Linked DNA regions of Lonchura striata. Each later gene encodes a partner of the first gene's protein in a complex. Links are inferred from orthologs where the notes say so. Each region holds a gene or a part of one and is shown in the gene's direction. Other genes may lie near its edges.

Region 1 (7,788 bases):
ATCTATCCTTCATACTGTTGAAATGTCATCGCCTACTTCTTAGTGGTTTTCTTCTATTGCTAGGACCAGTAAATCAGCTCAGTAGGCACAATAATAAATAGCACACTGCTGATTTCCAAGCAGCTTCTAGAAGGAATATTAATTCCAAAACAGTTACAAAGAAACTATGCAGTGGAAAATCTTAACTGGGAGGAATACTAAACAAAGAACAGCAAACAAGTTACCATCACTACAAACAGGAGATATTAAATTTCAGAGAAGTGGCTGGAAATGTGTCAGGCTGGCAGCCACAGCACAAGTACTAAATTCATGTGCAGCTAGGAGGCTTGGTCCTACTGCAGGGACAAAGGACACATACAGAAATAGACTCCCAAGGAGAATCCTGCCTCTGTTTCTTGATGACAGCCAGAATGCTATCGGCATCACTGGCACAGATGGCCGTAGCCCACTTACTCACTCTTAATGAAAACACAGAGAGCAGCTAACACAGGATCCAGGAGCTAAATTAACCTCTGCAACATCAGGCTGTGCACAAAGCTCTGTTGTGAGAATATGTGTTTGTGCCATCAGGACAGTTTTATTCTTACTGGTGCTGCCTGAAGGGTGTCAGCCAGAGTTGCTCTTCCCTCTCCTCTGGCTCTGGATTCCCTGAGGAGAGCAATGGGTGTACTGACAGCTGATGCCCACGAAGCACATCTATCTGGAGGATATGACTCCTGGACTGAGGGACTGATCACCTGCACTCACTTTAAAACACATGTTCCACACGTTGACTCCCTGCTGATAGGCTCAACGAGAGGCCAAACAAATACCCTCAGTGCCTGGAATGCTTGGATCGCATTTTCTTTGGTAGAAATTTTCTTTGGTCCCTTAAAGTAAACATAAATGGAAACCAAGCATATAGAAGAGAATGTTTGCATTTGAATGTCAAAATTAGGCCTAAGAAAACGGGGGCATGGCTTTCTGCAAAGCTAAATAATCTTTAGCTGATCCATCTACTGAAATTCTTTGAAAGCATCAAAAAAAGAAACTACCCCCAAAAAACAAAGCGATTTTGGTGGACTAGTCAATGTTTTACAGTGTTTCAAAAGGCCTTTGATTAAATCTCTAAGCAAGAGGACTCAAGCAGCTAAATAATCACTGGGCAAAAAGAAAAGTACAATCATGGTTCAAAAACTGGAGATGGCAAACAAAGAGCAGAATTGAACTGCAAGTTTCTATGATGGTGGAAGGTTAATGCCAGCCAGCTTCGGGGCTCTGCGGCATGTCTCATATTGCTGCTGTATTTACCACTGATCTAGAAAGAGGGCTGTATTGTGAGATGGCAACATTTGCAGCTGTCATAATTATTTCAGCTAAGCAAGACAAGAGGGGACTGTGATGATGAGGAAGTGCTAACGAAACAGAATGCACCATGTAATGGCAAATTAAATTCAATACTGAAAATGCAAAACAACGCACATTAGGGAGGGACGTGAGTTCCACTTCGAAATCTGACAAGCTTCCATTCATTTATACTAAACTGGAAAGTAAACTGGGCATTATGTAAATATCTATCTGCTATTTCTAATCCTCACAAAGTTGTAGTCAGAAAAGTTAGCAGAACACAGGAGGAATAAATAACATACTGGTTAATGCCAATTATTAGAATTCTCTATAAAACCTCTGGCATAGTGTGCAGTCAGAAAAAGTGATGTGAATGTGTTTGTCTATGGGCATAGTTTGGAGAACAAACTTTTATAAAAAACAGTGTTCTGCTACACTTGGATTATTTATCCTTGGAAGATGGCAAAAGATGTGATAAGAGCAACCAGAGTAGCAAAGTAGCAAATAATGTCAAGAAGTAAGTGCAGAAACATCTTTCTCCTGTCTTACTGTTCAAGAAACAGAAACCTCATGGTGGCAATCTCAAATGGTGACATGAAGCATTTTGGCACAAATGCTAGAAGTGAGACACACTGAGGAAATCGATATGGCAGAAATTTTATTGATAATCACAAAAGACTTAAGACACATCTACACTTATGAACATAACAAATGTATCTCCCAATGTCTATAGTTGGCCAAATACTTACATTTTTAATGAAAATGTAAACAACCAAGCTTCATGGTTTACAACAACATCTAGATATTAGAAAGCAAATTTATATATAGTGGGAGCCTACAGTGCCAGGGTAACTGACCCTCGGGCATGGTCCAGCTTATGTTTCAACATCTATCCTAGGCACTTCTACACTTGTACAGTTTGCAGCTCCTCCTGATAGGGTATTTTTAGATAACTGCATTTTGTCCAGCCATAAATGCTATTAGACATCACCAAGCAGTTGCATGTGACAGGATATTTTGGTAACTATAGGTGAGAAATGTTTAGCTTCATACAAGCCTTTGTTAGTGTCACACCTCCATTACCTCACATGCCATTTCACACAGATGAAGCATAATTAACCTCCTCTGTTTCCTGCTTCTGTGCCTATACTCCAATATGCTGGCAACTGGAAAAGGGTTTGTGAAGTGATCAATATTTCAGGTTCATAGAATCACAAAATTGTTAGGGTTGGAAGAGATCATCCGGTCCAACTTTGTTGCCAAGGCAGGGTCACCTAGAGCAGGTGACACAGGAACACATCCAGGTGTGTTTGGAATGTCTCCAGAGAGGGAGACTCCACAGCTTCCCCAGGCAGTCTGTTCAGTGCTCTGCCATCCTCAGTTTAAACTTCTTCCTCATGTTCAGGTGAAACTTCTGTTTTAATTTACAGCCACTGCTCCTCATCCTGTTGCTGTGCACCATTGAAAAGAATCTGGCACCATGTTCTTGACACCCACCTTTGAGATATTTATATGCATTAATGAGATGCCTTCTCAGTCTTCTATTCTCCAGGCTAAACAGGCCCAGCTCCCTCAGCTTCTCTTCATAAGAGAGATGTTGTTCCACACCCCTCATCATCTTTGTGGTCTCTGCTGAACCCTCTCCAGAAGATCCTTGTTTTGCTTCTACTGAGGAGCCCAGAACTGGACACAGGTTCTAGACTTGCCAGTGACATTACTTTCCTTTTCTAATGTTTTCCAAGGTAAGCTTGCCAATCTGTAAACCACTTCTCTCTCACTGCTGCCATGTGAATATATTAGTGTGGGCAACCACTGAATAACCAACAACACTAAGCACAAACAAAACCATCCAGCAACATACAAACCAAAGGGAAACAGGCCCCAAACAAAACCCCCTAGAAACACTGCGCTGCTCCTCCTGTCCCCCTGAGCTGAGGCATTCCCAAACTTTCTCACCTCTGGGAAATGCTCTTAGTGGCGTTTCCCCATACCAACTGTAGTGCTGAACACAAGGTGTGGGCAGCAGACCCGCGTTGTGCCTGTCAGGAGACGCAGCCTCCCCGGCGGCACACACCGGCCTGTCTCCAGCTGTTCCCCAGCCGCCATCCCTAGTCAACCCCAATGGAGGCAGAGCAATGCCTCCTTCTCCTTCTTCTCCAGCTCAATGTCATGACCCACAACAGAAGGCAGCATAACTGTATAATTTCACCAGGAGGGGACAATCCCCGTTGGACTCACTCCAGTTACTCAATCCTTTTGCATCGGTCATTAATGCACTGAGGGTTAATGCCTCTCTCCCCATTACCCCTCTGAGCGTCAGCTTGACTTTGTCCCAGAGAAAACCTTTCAACACGTCCGCGTTACACCAGAAATCTTTTCAACAGGTCTGATGTGCCCAGGTCAACACCGAGAGGAGAATTATCATTACAGTCTCACGACTGTAATGCCAGTGACAGGACTCGAGGAAACAGCGTGAAGCTGTGTCAGGGGAGGTTTAGGGTAGAGATCAGGAAAACATTCTTCACCCAGAGGGAGGTTGAGCCCTGGAACAGGCTCCCCACGGATGAGGTCACAGCACCAAGCCTAGCAGAGTTCAGGACACATTTGGACAAAGCTCTCCAGTGGTATATTCTGATTCCATGATCATTTCATAACTAGGGGACAGGCACCACTGGGCTGGCCTTCGGCAGCAACACCAGTAATCCCCTGAGGGTCAGTGTCCCTTTTCCCACTACCCTCGGGGGGTCGCTCAGACTTCCACCTTCCCGGACCCGTGGCGAGAGCAAAGCTCGCCACGGGTCCGGGTCACGCCAGGGAGCCCCCAACAGCTCCGGACGCGCGGGTGCCTGCAGCAGCAGACCCAAGGGGCCCGGCCGTGCCCCCGGTCGGTGCCCGCAGTCCCACCCCCGGCCATCGCCCCGTCGCTCTCCCGCCCCGCCCTCCGCGCCTCGCGCCCGCCGAGGGGCGGAGGCCCCGCCCCGCCGCGAGCGAGCGGAGGGCGCGGGGCGGGGCCGCGGCTCAGCAGACGCGGGGGCGCGCGGCGGCGGGAGCGCGCTGGCGGCCGGACGGAGCGTGTGCGCGCCGGGCGCGCCCCCGACCGGAGGAGGGGCCGGGGGCCGAGCCAGCCCCGCCGCCGCGGCGCCCGCTCCCCGCCCGCCTCCCGCTTCCGCCCGGCGCCGCCGCCGCCGCTCCGCCCGCCTCGCCCCCGGCCCCGCCGCGCCCCGCGACGCCCCTCGCTCCCATCGGGCGCCTCCGCCGGCCGCCGTCACCGCCAATCCTCCCCCACCCCGCGCCCCCGTGTTCTTCTGAGACGCTCCGGTTGTGGGGGTGACCCGCGCTCCGCACGGCCCCGGGCCTGCCCGTCGCTCCGCCCCCGGGCCCGTCCGGTGACAGTCGCGACCGCCGCGGGAGGTGGCGGTGGAGGAGCAGGAGGAGGAGGCCGGAGCCGGGATGTCCGGGCAACAGCAGCAGCAACAACAGCCGTCGTCGCCGCAGCTTTCCTTGGCGGCCGCCGTTCCCCCGCCGGCGCCGGGGATCCCCTCCGCCGCCGCAAGCCCCGGCCCCGCTCCGGCCGCCGCGCTCCTGCTCCACCCGCCGCCGCCGCCTCCGGCCACCGCGGCGCCGCCGCCGCCCGCCGCCGCCACGGCCGGCAGCGGCGGGCCCGCGGCCGCGGGGGGCGGCGGGGCCGGCGCCGCGCTGGGCCTGCCGGCGGGGAGCGGCACCGGCGCCCCGGCGCCCTTCCCGCACGGAGACCCGGCCCTGAACGAGCAGGAGAAGGAGCTGAAGCGGCGGCTGAAGAGGCTGTACCCGGCCGTGGACGAGCAGGAGACGCCGCTGCCCCGCTCCTGGAGCCCGAAGGACAAATTCAGTTACATCGGCCTCTCGCAGAACAACCTGCGGGTGCACTACAAAGGTGAGGAGGGGCGGCCCGGGCCGCCGCGACACCCCCTGTCCCCCCCGGGGCCGGGGGCTGCCCGACCCCTCCGTCGAGCGGTGGCCACAGGAGTAACAATAACAGGAAATAACACACGCTCCTCTCCCTCCTTCTTCCCTGTTTTCCGATCGCCTAAATTCCCCCCCGCAGCGTGGAGATAAGGGGCTTGTTTTCCCTTATTTCAGGTTTATTTTTCTCTCTTTTCCCCTCCCCCCCGCCCCCCCCCCCTTCTTTCTGTCGCCGTGCGGGGAAAGGGGGGGACACAAGGGGCCGCCCCCGCCTCCTTGTGCTTCTGGAGTGGGCATTATGTAAACTCCGAGACTTCCTCCGTGGATTCAGGTATCGCCGGAACGTTTGGGTCGGAGGCAGGAGAATAAAGGACGCTCGGCATGACGTGTCCTGTTTATGGTAATGAGCGAGAAAAAGAAGTAGCTGCTTTTTTTTTTCACCTCTCGAGAAGAGCAAGGGTTAAATGCAGTTAAGAGCAGCAAACGTTAAGCTATTGAACACGGAAATGACGGGAGGGGAAAGCACTGAGAAAAACACGGTTTATTTTTAATCTGTAAAAAAAAAATTACTTTAAAGTCACTGGTAATAGTCTTGCCTAACTATTGCACAGAGTGATCTGAGGGAAGGAACGACAATAGGACTTATATTAATGAAGGTGACTGAAACTTTCTTCCTAGACGTTTCACAGTTAAAGTTACAAATTTTCAAATAAAATGTAAAAACCAGTATGCTTTTGTATTAAAAAATAACATCAGCGAGAATCATTAGAAGAAAAACTTGTGTTGATTGTTATGAAATGTCATAAAACCTGGAAACATAAGCCTACACTCTGACCTGAAAAAACACAGTCACATCTGGTGTTCTAGGCCTAAAGTCCTGAAGTAGAAGTGTTGTGGATTCAAAGCCACTTTTGAGTTGGCTGTGAAGAACTGGATCTTTTGTCAGTCTGTAGTCAAATGAACGTAGTGGGAGGGGAAAAAAACAGCCATGCAATTACTCTTTCTCAGAGTTTGCAGTGGAGAAATTCAAGGGAAATCTTGATAAATATGTTACTGTTTAATCGGAGGAGGAAAACGGCAACACAAACACATGGCAGGATTTGGCTGCCATGAAAGGATTAAATGTACTCTCAGACTTTTTTTTAATAGAGAGGTTTTATTATTACACGCAAAATACTCTGTTAAAAATGCTAAGTTTAATGCACCGTACAAAGGTAATAAAGGAGCTGGATGACTACAAAGCAGGTTTCTAGGAGGCACCGAGTGATTTAAGGATGTGTAATTTAATACTCTGAATTTCCTGGCTTTTGTTCAGTGTTTTATGACCTTGTATTTTTAGAAACATTTTGTATTTTCTGGTGCTTAGTGGCAGTGGGTTGTTTGGTTTTGGTGTTTTTTTCTTCTAAGATGATCATAGCTTAGTGGCTATCAACTTCTGCTGGTTTGTTTTGCTTTGGTCAATTTTTTTTCTCATCAGCTAGAATTTAGAGGTCAAACCTCTCTGATCTCTGTGTTATTTCAGAAGTATATTTTCAAGCTTTCCTTGTGCTGTCCCTGTTTTTCCTCACTTAACTCCTTTGCCATGGTGTTAAGGGAAATCATTACCTCAAAGAAGTTACGGAAGTCATGAAACACAGTTAGTAGGTTGTAACAATGAAGTACCTTTACTCTAGCTCTTAAGTTATAGTAAGTGCTGAAGTTTGAAGAGTTTCCTAGGTTAGCTGAAAGGACTCTGAAAAGGAGGTGCCAATATAGCATGTCTGTACTTTTCTTTTTCCTAAGTGCATATGGAAGTAAATGACTTCTTAAGTGGCCCATCTTTTCTACTGGATAATTTAATGAAGGTGGCTGTTAGGGCAACTCCATGTTTATGTTACCAGCTTGGCGCTTGGAACTGCTAACTGGGCTAAGAAGTGAATGGTATCTGAGTATTTCTACCTGAGAACCAGGGGGCAAACATGCTAAACATCTCCTGCCTTTTCTCCCTCCTGGATCCTTCAGCCCTAAGAATACAATAAAAGGGGAGAAAATGAGGAGATTCAGTGAAGAGAGTAAGGGAAGATGGCAAGTAAGAATGTGCTTAGGACTGTGAAATAGTGTTTCTACAAATTTGTTTTCAAAAGAAAGTGCTCATTGCATCTTCTTTTGTAATTCTGGTGCTTTCAGTGCTTCTGAAATTACCTAAGTATTAGTGGAAGAACATCGGATGTTTTTTTTGAAAGAAAATATGAATTGACCAGAGCTAAAGAACTGTTGTATTCTTGATGAAAATATTCAAGGAAAAGCCAGTAACCTAAAGCAATTCTTACTATTTTCTACTACTGTAGTATAGGTGCCCTGTACGCTTAAATTTTCTCTTCTGCCTCTGTAGATTTCTAGCTATAGATCTGTTTTTCTGGAGCACTTTCCTTCTGTTCTGTGACTGATTAGAGGCAGAAAGTGTTAACAGTAGTGCTTTGCCTTCACCTTGGGTGTGCTTGGGCTACTGAAAAAATTAGTGGAGAGGAACAATCAGCGCAA
Region 2 (7,413 bases), on another chromosome or scaffold:
CTCCCACCTGCACCTGAGCACTCAGACCTGTGGTTAACACCAGGAAAGAACATTGTGCTGGCCCTGCCACCACAGTGGCAAAGGCCGTGCCCTGGACACCATCTCCTTTTATTCTGCCATAACCTTTCCCTGGGCAAAGGGAAGAGACATCCACCCAAGCCTGAGAATTCTGTGTCTTTTGTGGGTTTCACTGCCTGCTGCTCATTCAGGTCTGGAGCGAAGCAAACCTCCCTTCACTTCTTTATCTTTCGGTGTCATTCAGATGATTCAGGCAAGATTAAGTGGGATATAAGGATAAAAACGTGAGGACAGTGCACAGTGTGGGCACTTTGAAGTACTAAGCCTGATTTCTTTTCCTGGTAACAACAGCTAGGGATTAAATCATTAGAAGGTTTGGCATTAAAGAAGTTATTTGTGCTAAGGTGGAGCAAGCAGCTTATGGGACAGCACAGTCAGATCCTGAACACCAGTGGCACTGAAGAGAATCCCTGCCTGTGACAAAAGCAGGTCAGGGCCTGGCCTGCAGATTTAAAACATAAACCTCCACACTTGGAGCAGGAGAAGAACAACATTCCAGTCACTCTCCTGCCCTGAGGAGAGGAACCAACTCCTCACTGGCCCAGCCCCGCTCACCTTGCAGGGCCCACATGTTGTAGGATGCCAGATGGCTGACAAAGGTCTCCTTGGTGCTGGCTGGAATGTTTGGCCCCAGGATGCTGGTCGAGGAGCCAATTGTCACATTGTACCTGGAATGATCACCCAAACCCTTAGTAAAGCCCAGGGGAAAGACCCAGGGCTCATGGAGCTTGTGGCCCTGGGACTTCTGAGCTCCTGGGCTGAGCAGGGCAGGGCCTAAAGCAGTCAGGAACCTTTTGAGCTCTCACCTTTTCTCAGCCCAGGTGATCACAGGATCCCATTCATTCTTCTGTAGTTCTGCCAAGGCTGGAGGCTCCTCCACACGATAGCTGGGACATCACAGAACAAAACCACACTGGATGGTCACTCCCAGGCTAGGACACACCTCTGGAAAGGCCACTGACCCCACCAGACCCACAGCAAGTGGAACAGGGACCTGCCGTCCACCCAGGCAGCAGTGACAGGGAATAATCCCCCAACCCTGCCCTAAATTCAGTGTTTTTTTGTTATTCCAGGAAGGACAATTCTGTCTTACTACAAAACAGAGCGGTGAACCACCCAACTGAAAATTGCAGGCAGCCCCAAGCCAGACTGAAGTTAGAGGGTACAAACCCCACTGCAACTCTCTGTGGGGCCACTCCTGCTTCTCCTTGCCCAGTGGCTCAGCTCAGCATTCCCTGCTCACCCAGTCTGACCAAAGCCACAGGGGCAGGTGGGGGAAGCCTGTTCCTCTCTCCACAGGAACTGTGCAGCTGCCAGTGGAGGAGCCTGGGCATGAACAGGCTTGATGCTACAGCTCATGGGGACTTTAAGGAATGAAGGGCATTTTGGGACTGCTACAAGTAGTCTCAGCTATCTGTACTGGCACAGGAATACCAGGGACTGGCTGACAGAGCCCCACAAGCCTTTCAAAGGTGTTTTCTTTTCTCCAAGATCTTCATTTCCCACTGATCTCACCCTTGCCCAGCAGGGAGGTGTCCAAAACGGAGTTCAACAGAGGACCAAATCCAATTCTCCTTCTTTGGGTGCACAGACTGCAACCAGGTTTGCACATTCAAACCCTCAGGCAAAAACCAGCACAGAGCCATGCCATGACTGGGTGAGTGCAGATGTCTTCCCTCACTTTACCCAACCCTCTTTCCAAAATCCAGCTGGGTCCCCATCTCGTTACCAGACTGTGTCTGTCTCCAGGAACTTCACAGCTGCTCGGATCAGCTGCGTTTTGTTTCGCTGCGTGGGATTGTCCAGCGCCGTGTTGCACAGAGTGGTCTGGGGATAAAAGCAGTTGAAACTGCTGTTATTCCAGGCTTGAAAAAGCAGCAACTTCCATGGTACAATGCCAAGAAGAAGCAGAGGGATCTGTGGCAAATGATCTGAGGGGTGCAGGGTTACAAAATGGCTAATGTAATAAGTGTCTTCTCAAATCTTTCAGAATCCCTGGAAGCAGCTTATTAAGCAGCAGGGAAGAGGGGCCAAGGATTGCTCCAGAGCTCAGTTTCCTCCTGCCCCTAACTATTCCAAATAACACTGTCCAGCCCCTTCTCAAGTTCCCCTAAGTGACACAGATTCCCTCTAGACAGGCACCTGGCCAGCCCAGAGAAAGTCCTTTCTGCTCATTAGGAGCAGGACAACCTGCTGCCTCCACATTCTGCATTTGGAGGTCTCAGCACTCCACCCTGCCATGCTCACCAGGTGCATTGTGTAGAACTTGATGGTGTCTTTCTGGGAATCCCACTCTGTTGCCACTGCAATGGCCAAGGCCTCGCTGGGGACAGTGAAGAGTTTGGCCTGGGGCGTTTTCAGCTTTCGGTGGTCCAGGTTTATTTCAAAGCCTCCTGGGGAATCAGAGTAGAAATCCTGGGGAATCAAAGAGGAGCAGGCACTAAGGAACAACAGACAACCCCACAGGAGGAGCAGATTCAAAGTTATAGAGCTGAGAGGAGCAAGAGACCAGGAACACTCAGGTTTCCCACCATCACTTGGATACACTTGGTCCTGGAAGCTGGTTCCCACCATGCAGCTTTGCTGTAGATGAGGAGGGGGCACAGCAGCTGGTGACAAACCTGCCACTGACACAGCTTGGGCTGCAGGTGCTGATGTGGGGTGGGGTGATGACACCTCTCCTAGGGATCAGCTCCCCCATCCCATCCCATCGGCCATACTCACCTTCCCCCTGCGAGATGCTCACGTTCTGGTAGAACCTCTTCCTCTCTAGGGACAGAAACAGAAGGCAAAGAGAACATTCAGAGGGCAAACAGAGAATGTTCAATGCCTTCCCCTGCTCCCCATCACAGCTCAGAACAGACAGAGCTTTGCTGCTGTCGACGTGGTAACAAAAATCCAGCCCTTCTTCCACAGTTTCCAAGCTGTGAGCTGCAGTGAGCTCCCCTCAGCAGGGAGGCACCAGGAGCAACGAGAACCAGCTCCAATCCTGCCAGGCTGGGGGCTCAGCTGCCTCAGAGTGTGGCAGGGCTGGTTTCCCAAGCAGGCCTGTCCCACCTCTCCTCAGTTCTGCTTCAGGGTCAACCTTTCCAGATTCTACAATTACAGTTACACTGGATAAATTAACCCTCAAAGGACACTGCAGCCCAAACATCTCAGTCCAGCTCAGGAATATACCTGTTCCACCAACAAGATGAGCCTGAGGAAACTTCAGGTCTCATTTTAGGAGCAGCATCCTTTGCTACCAGCACTCCTACCGCCGTGAGAGCAGGATTACACCCATCCCAAAGGCTCACACCCCTCCCACAAGGCAGGAAGAATCCACGAGCCATTCCCCTGACAACAGCAAGCAGGCTGTAAATCCCAAACCCATAAACCTGTCTGGTGAAGGACACAGCAAACAGGCCAGGCCGCGGGTCTGCTATTCCAGGCTAAAACCAGCACATTCCCACTGAGGAAATAGAAGGATTTGCTCAGGCTCGGCGACCTGTGAGCTTTGGGGCCTCAGGCACAGTTCTAAAAACAGATTAAAGTGTGTGTACCCCAGAGGAGCCCCGAGGCTCATCAGTGACTCCCAAAACTTTGTCATGAGTCACCGCGACGCTGCAGCCTCACCTCCGACAAAATGAGATTAATTTTATTGTTTTTAAACCCACGTGATGGGATACGTGAGCCAGAACATACCTGAACCCCCTGGTCTGAGTCCCATTCCCTCAAAATCCCTAAAACCCAACAAAACACAAAAACAAGTGTAACAAACTGGTTCAGCGAGGGCTCGGCCGTGCTGCCAGCGAACCCTGCCCGCTCCAAGGACAGGCTAACACCAGGGAAAGGGCGCCGGGGACAACTCCAGCACCGGGGCCGTGCTAATCCCCGCCCTGCCCTGGGTGACCCCGGCATGAGGGTCCCCGGGGGAGGATCCCCCTCCCCAAACGCGGCTCCCTCACCTGTCGGCGGGGCATAGGCCCGGCGCCCACATGACCCCACCGGGCCGCTCCCAGCATCTGCAGGAGGAGTTCTGGGGAGCCGAGCGGGCTGGGAACGAGCCCACCACAGCCGGCGACAGCCGCGCCACATCGCGCCAGACGACACCACCACGACCACCCCGTCCGCACCGCGCTCAGCGCCGCTCCCTGGGCGCCGCCATCTTGCCGCCGGCCGCAACCAATCCGCGCCGCCTCCATTTAAAAAGAAACTACATTTCCCAGCAGCGCCGGGTGGCACCGCAACCAATCAACGCCCGAGCGTCGTTGCCAGCAGCCAATCAGAGCTAAGGGACGCCCCTCAGGCACGCGCGCCGAGGCGCTGCCAGGAGGCCCCGACCCGGCGGCGGCGGCGGCGTGAGGGAGCGGAGCGGAGCGGGCGGCGTCCCCCCGGCCGCAACCCCGGCCCCGGCCACGCTGGCGCCCGGGGACCCTCCCGAGATGCCGGTTCGGAGCGAGAGGCACCGCAGTGGAGGGGCGGGAGGTTCATCCTCCTCCCCTGCTACCGGAGCGGCCGCCAGCAGCTTAGTACCGCCACCCCCCATCAACACGGCGCAGCCTGGAGTGGCCACTTCGCTTCTTTACAGCGGGGCCAAGTTCCGCGGGCAGCAGCGCAGCAAAGGCAACGCTTACGAGGTGGAGGTCGTCATGCAGGTGAGGGGGAACGGCGTGGCGAGCCTGGTTTTGGCAGGGTGGGAATGGCCACCGCGGCCTGAGGCGAGACGGGGGAACCCCGGCTCGCCTCAGGTCGCGGTGGCCATTCCCACCCTGCCAGCCCCTTGTGACAGCACCCGCATCACCCTACCCCTCTATATTAGAAGGAATTTGTCGCAGAAAATATCACTCTAAACATCAGAATATCCTACTTAATGATGTGGTGGAATCACCATCCCTGGAGGTGTTGGAGGAAAGACTGGACGTGGCACTTAGTGCTGGTGAATCAGTCACGGGATGAGCTCAGCTCTTTTCCGACCTCAGTGGTTCTGTGATGATTCTAAGCTTTTTATGGTCATTTCTCCACGTTTCTGGTGGGATTTGTGCCCTGCTGCACGCTGCCACCTCGCAGGGGCTGGTTGTGGTTTTGTGTTTAAAAACGCTGCTTTTTTTGTCGAAAACGTGGCTGATTTGCATGTGTCAGCTGAAGAGAAGGGGGCTGCCTGCTCTCCCTGTGCTGAGCACGGGGAAACGTTGCTGTCCTTTGATCACAGGTGGAGAAGATCCATCTTCTCACGGGTGGAGGTTTGTACTTCCCTGAATAACTCACTCTAGATCTCAGAGAAAAGAAAAAACCCCTTGGAAAATCCCTGCTTTTAAAGGAGCAGGCAAATCCTTGCCTAATTTCTGCACAGCACAGGCAGAGAGATGCAGCCTGATAACTCAAAATGCAGGTGGCATAAAAGCTTTAAATTTAGGAGAAAGGCTTGTAAAATGCCGGGGGTGTGGGTGATTCTTCCAGGGATGCTTTTTCTTGGAGAATACTGTGAATCAGATCCCTTCCTGCTGGAAAGGGGATTTGCTTCCTGCTGCAGAGTTCTTGGGAGCAGGCCTGGGATGTGGAGGCTGCCAGAGGTGAGCTGGGCACCTGCAAATGATCTTTCCAGGTGGTTCCCATCATGGAAAAGGGCTGTGAATATTGGGCAGTGGGTACCAGCTGGAGCTGAAATTATCTTTGGAAGGGTTAGAAACTGCTTTGGGTCAAGCATGCACCTTCATGCCTATTTTTATGGTTGGACTTTGCACTCTTTTCCAGCATGTGGATATGGAAAACTCCTATCTCTGTGGATACTTGAAGATTAAAGGCCTTACAGAGGTGAGTGTTAACTGCAAAACAGCACAAAAAGGGGCTCTGTGAAGGCTTTTTTTTTTTTTTTTCCTGGTGGAGTGAGAGAAGCTGCTGCCAGAAATAGGAAGCGGAGGGTGTGAGCATGGTGTAGATTTGATCAAAGGGGATCAGCTGGGGAGTGGTGCTGGCTGTAAATGCCACAGGTGATCATCCAGCTGGGAGCTCCATGGAATCATTTACAGTTGGAAAAGCCCTCTGAAATCATTGAGTCCAACCACTGACCCAGGACCCAGCCAGGTCCACCACTTCCCTGGGCAGCCTGTTCCAATGTTTAACCACTCTTTTAAATTGTTTTTAATATCCAATCTAAACCTCCCTTAGTGCAATTTAAGGACATTTCTTCTTGTCCTGTCCCTTGTTCCCTGGGAGCAGAGCATGACCCCCACCTCGCAGCCCCCTCAGCTGCTTATGTTCCAAATCCTTCCCTGCAGCCCAGCTCTGATGTGGCTCCTGGCTTCATAAAATGAAGAGAGAGGCAGAGAAAGGCTGGAATAAGAGCGTGGAAGAGTCAGCTTGGAGAGGTGTGGGGCAGGATGAGGGATGGGAGCAGCAGCCTCAGATGGCCCAATCTCCCTGCGAGATGCTTTTTGCTGAGTGCATGGAGCTTTGTCTGCTCTTGAGTTTGTGCCTGTAGGTGACTATTGTGACCCCACCTTTGTCTCCCCTCTGCCAGGAGTACCCAACCCTCACCACGTTCTTCGAGGGCGAGATAATCAGTAAGAAACACCCGTTCCTAACGCGCAAGTGGGATGCCGACGAAGACGTGGATCGTAAACACTGGGTAAATAAATCTGGGGGCACAGGGTGGCTCTGGGCTGCTGGTCTGGGGGAGAGGGGCAGTGTGTGCCCATGCAAGAGCTGGCAGAAAGGCCTGGAGACCTTTTTGCTGTCTCCTTCCTTTTCCCCTGGGATCTTTATTTATAAAGGTCTCTTCAGCAAACTGTGATCTGTGATGAGGGAAGGGATGTTTTGTTTTCTACTTGTTTGCCTCGGGGTTGGGAGGAAGCAGGAGCAATCCCTGTCTCTTGATCCCCTAAGAGAACACAGTAATTAGTTTTGGAGATTTATTACAAAATGGAATGGAAAAGGGGAAAGGGATCCCACAAGCACAGGCAGAGTAGTTGGTACCTGTGTCCCTGCTCAGGGCAGGGTGTACCTGTTGCTGTGTTGTGAGGCCACAGCAGCCCACCTGATCACCCCCCCGCCCTTGACCTTGGCTGTTGTTTGCCAAGCTTTGATGTTTGTTGTATTTCTGTCAAAATATCCTCCTCTGGAAGTACAGGAGCTTCTTCAGCCAGGCTGGATATTGCTGTGAGTGTCAGTAGATTTCCCTCCTAAACAGCAGCTGGTACTAGAAGTTCTATTCCTGGAATAAACATCCTGAGCTGTTTTTTTGTTGTTGTTTGTTTTGTTTCAGGGAAAGTTCCAAGCTTTTTACCAGTATGCAAAAACATTTAACTCTGATGACTTTGATTATGAAGATCTAAAAAATGGGGACTATGTCTTCAT

The links.
Region 2: the proteins of RANBP9 (region 1) and GID4 are in contact, whole or in part, in a cryo-EM structure (PDB 7NSC), measured with the Homo sapiens proteins. The link is inferred for Lonchura striata from reciprocal best matches to the Homo sapiens genes RANBP9 and GID4. Residues at the interface, in NP_005484.2 of Homo sapiens: Ser223, Lys224, Gly225, Arg226, Asp227, Gly228, Tyr229, Met230, Gly256, Asp257, Thr274, Phe275, Thr276, Thr277; in NP_076957.3 of Homo sapiens: Leu187, Arg189, Asp194, Glu195, Asn216, Asp218.

Annotation. Positions count from the first base shown.
Region 1 is NC_134603.1:89,018,985-89,026,772, reverse strand, and holds the start of RANBP9 (ran-binding protein 9), read left to right. Parts: upstream 1-4,776; coding exon 4,777-5,239; intron 5,240-7,788. UniProt on the Homo sapiens protein: May act as scaffolding protein, and as adapter protein to couple membrane receptors to intracellular signaling pathways. Acts as a mediator of cell spreading and actin cytoskeleton rearrangement.
Region 2 is NC_134618.1:15,650,357-15,657,769, forward strand, and holds the start of GID4 (glucose-induced degradation protein 4 homolog), read left to right. Parts: upstream 1-4,408; 5' UTR 4,409-4,502; coding exon 4,503-4,715; intron 4,716-5,811; coding exon 5,812-5,871; intron 5,872-6,577; coding exon 6,578-6,685; intron 6,686-7,321; coding exon 7,322-7,413. Other genes in the region: ATPAF2 (ATP synthase mitochondrial F1 complex assembly factor 2), read right to left, coding at 634-746, 885-965, 1,808-1,905, 2,326-2,471, 2,803-2,847, 4,026-4,155.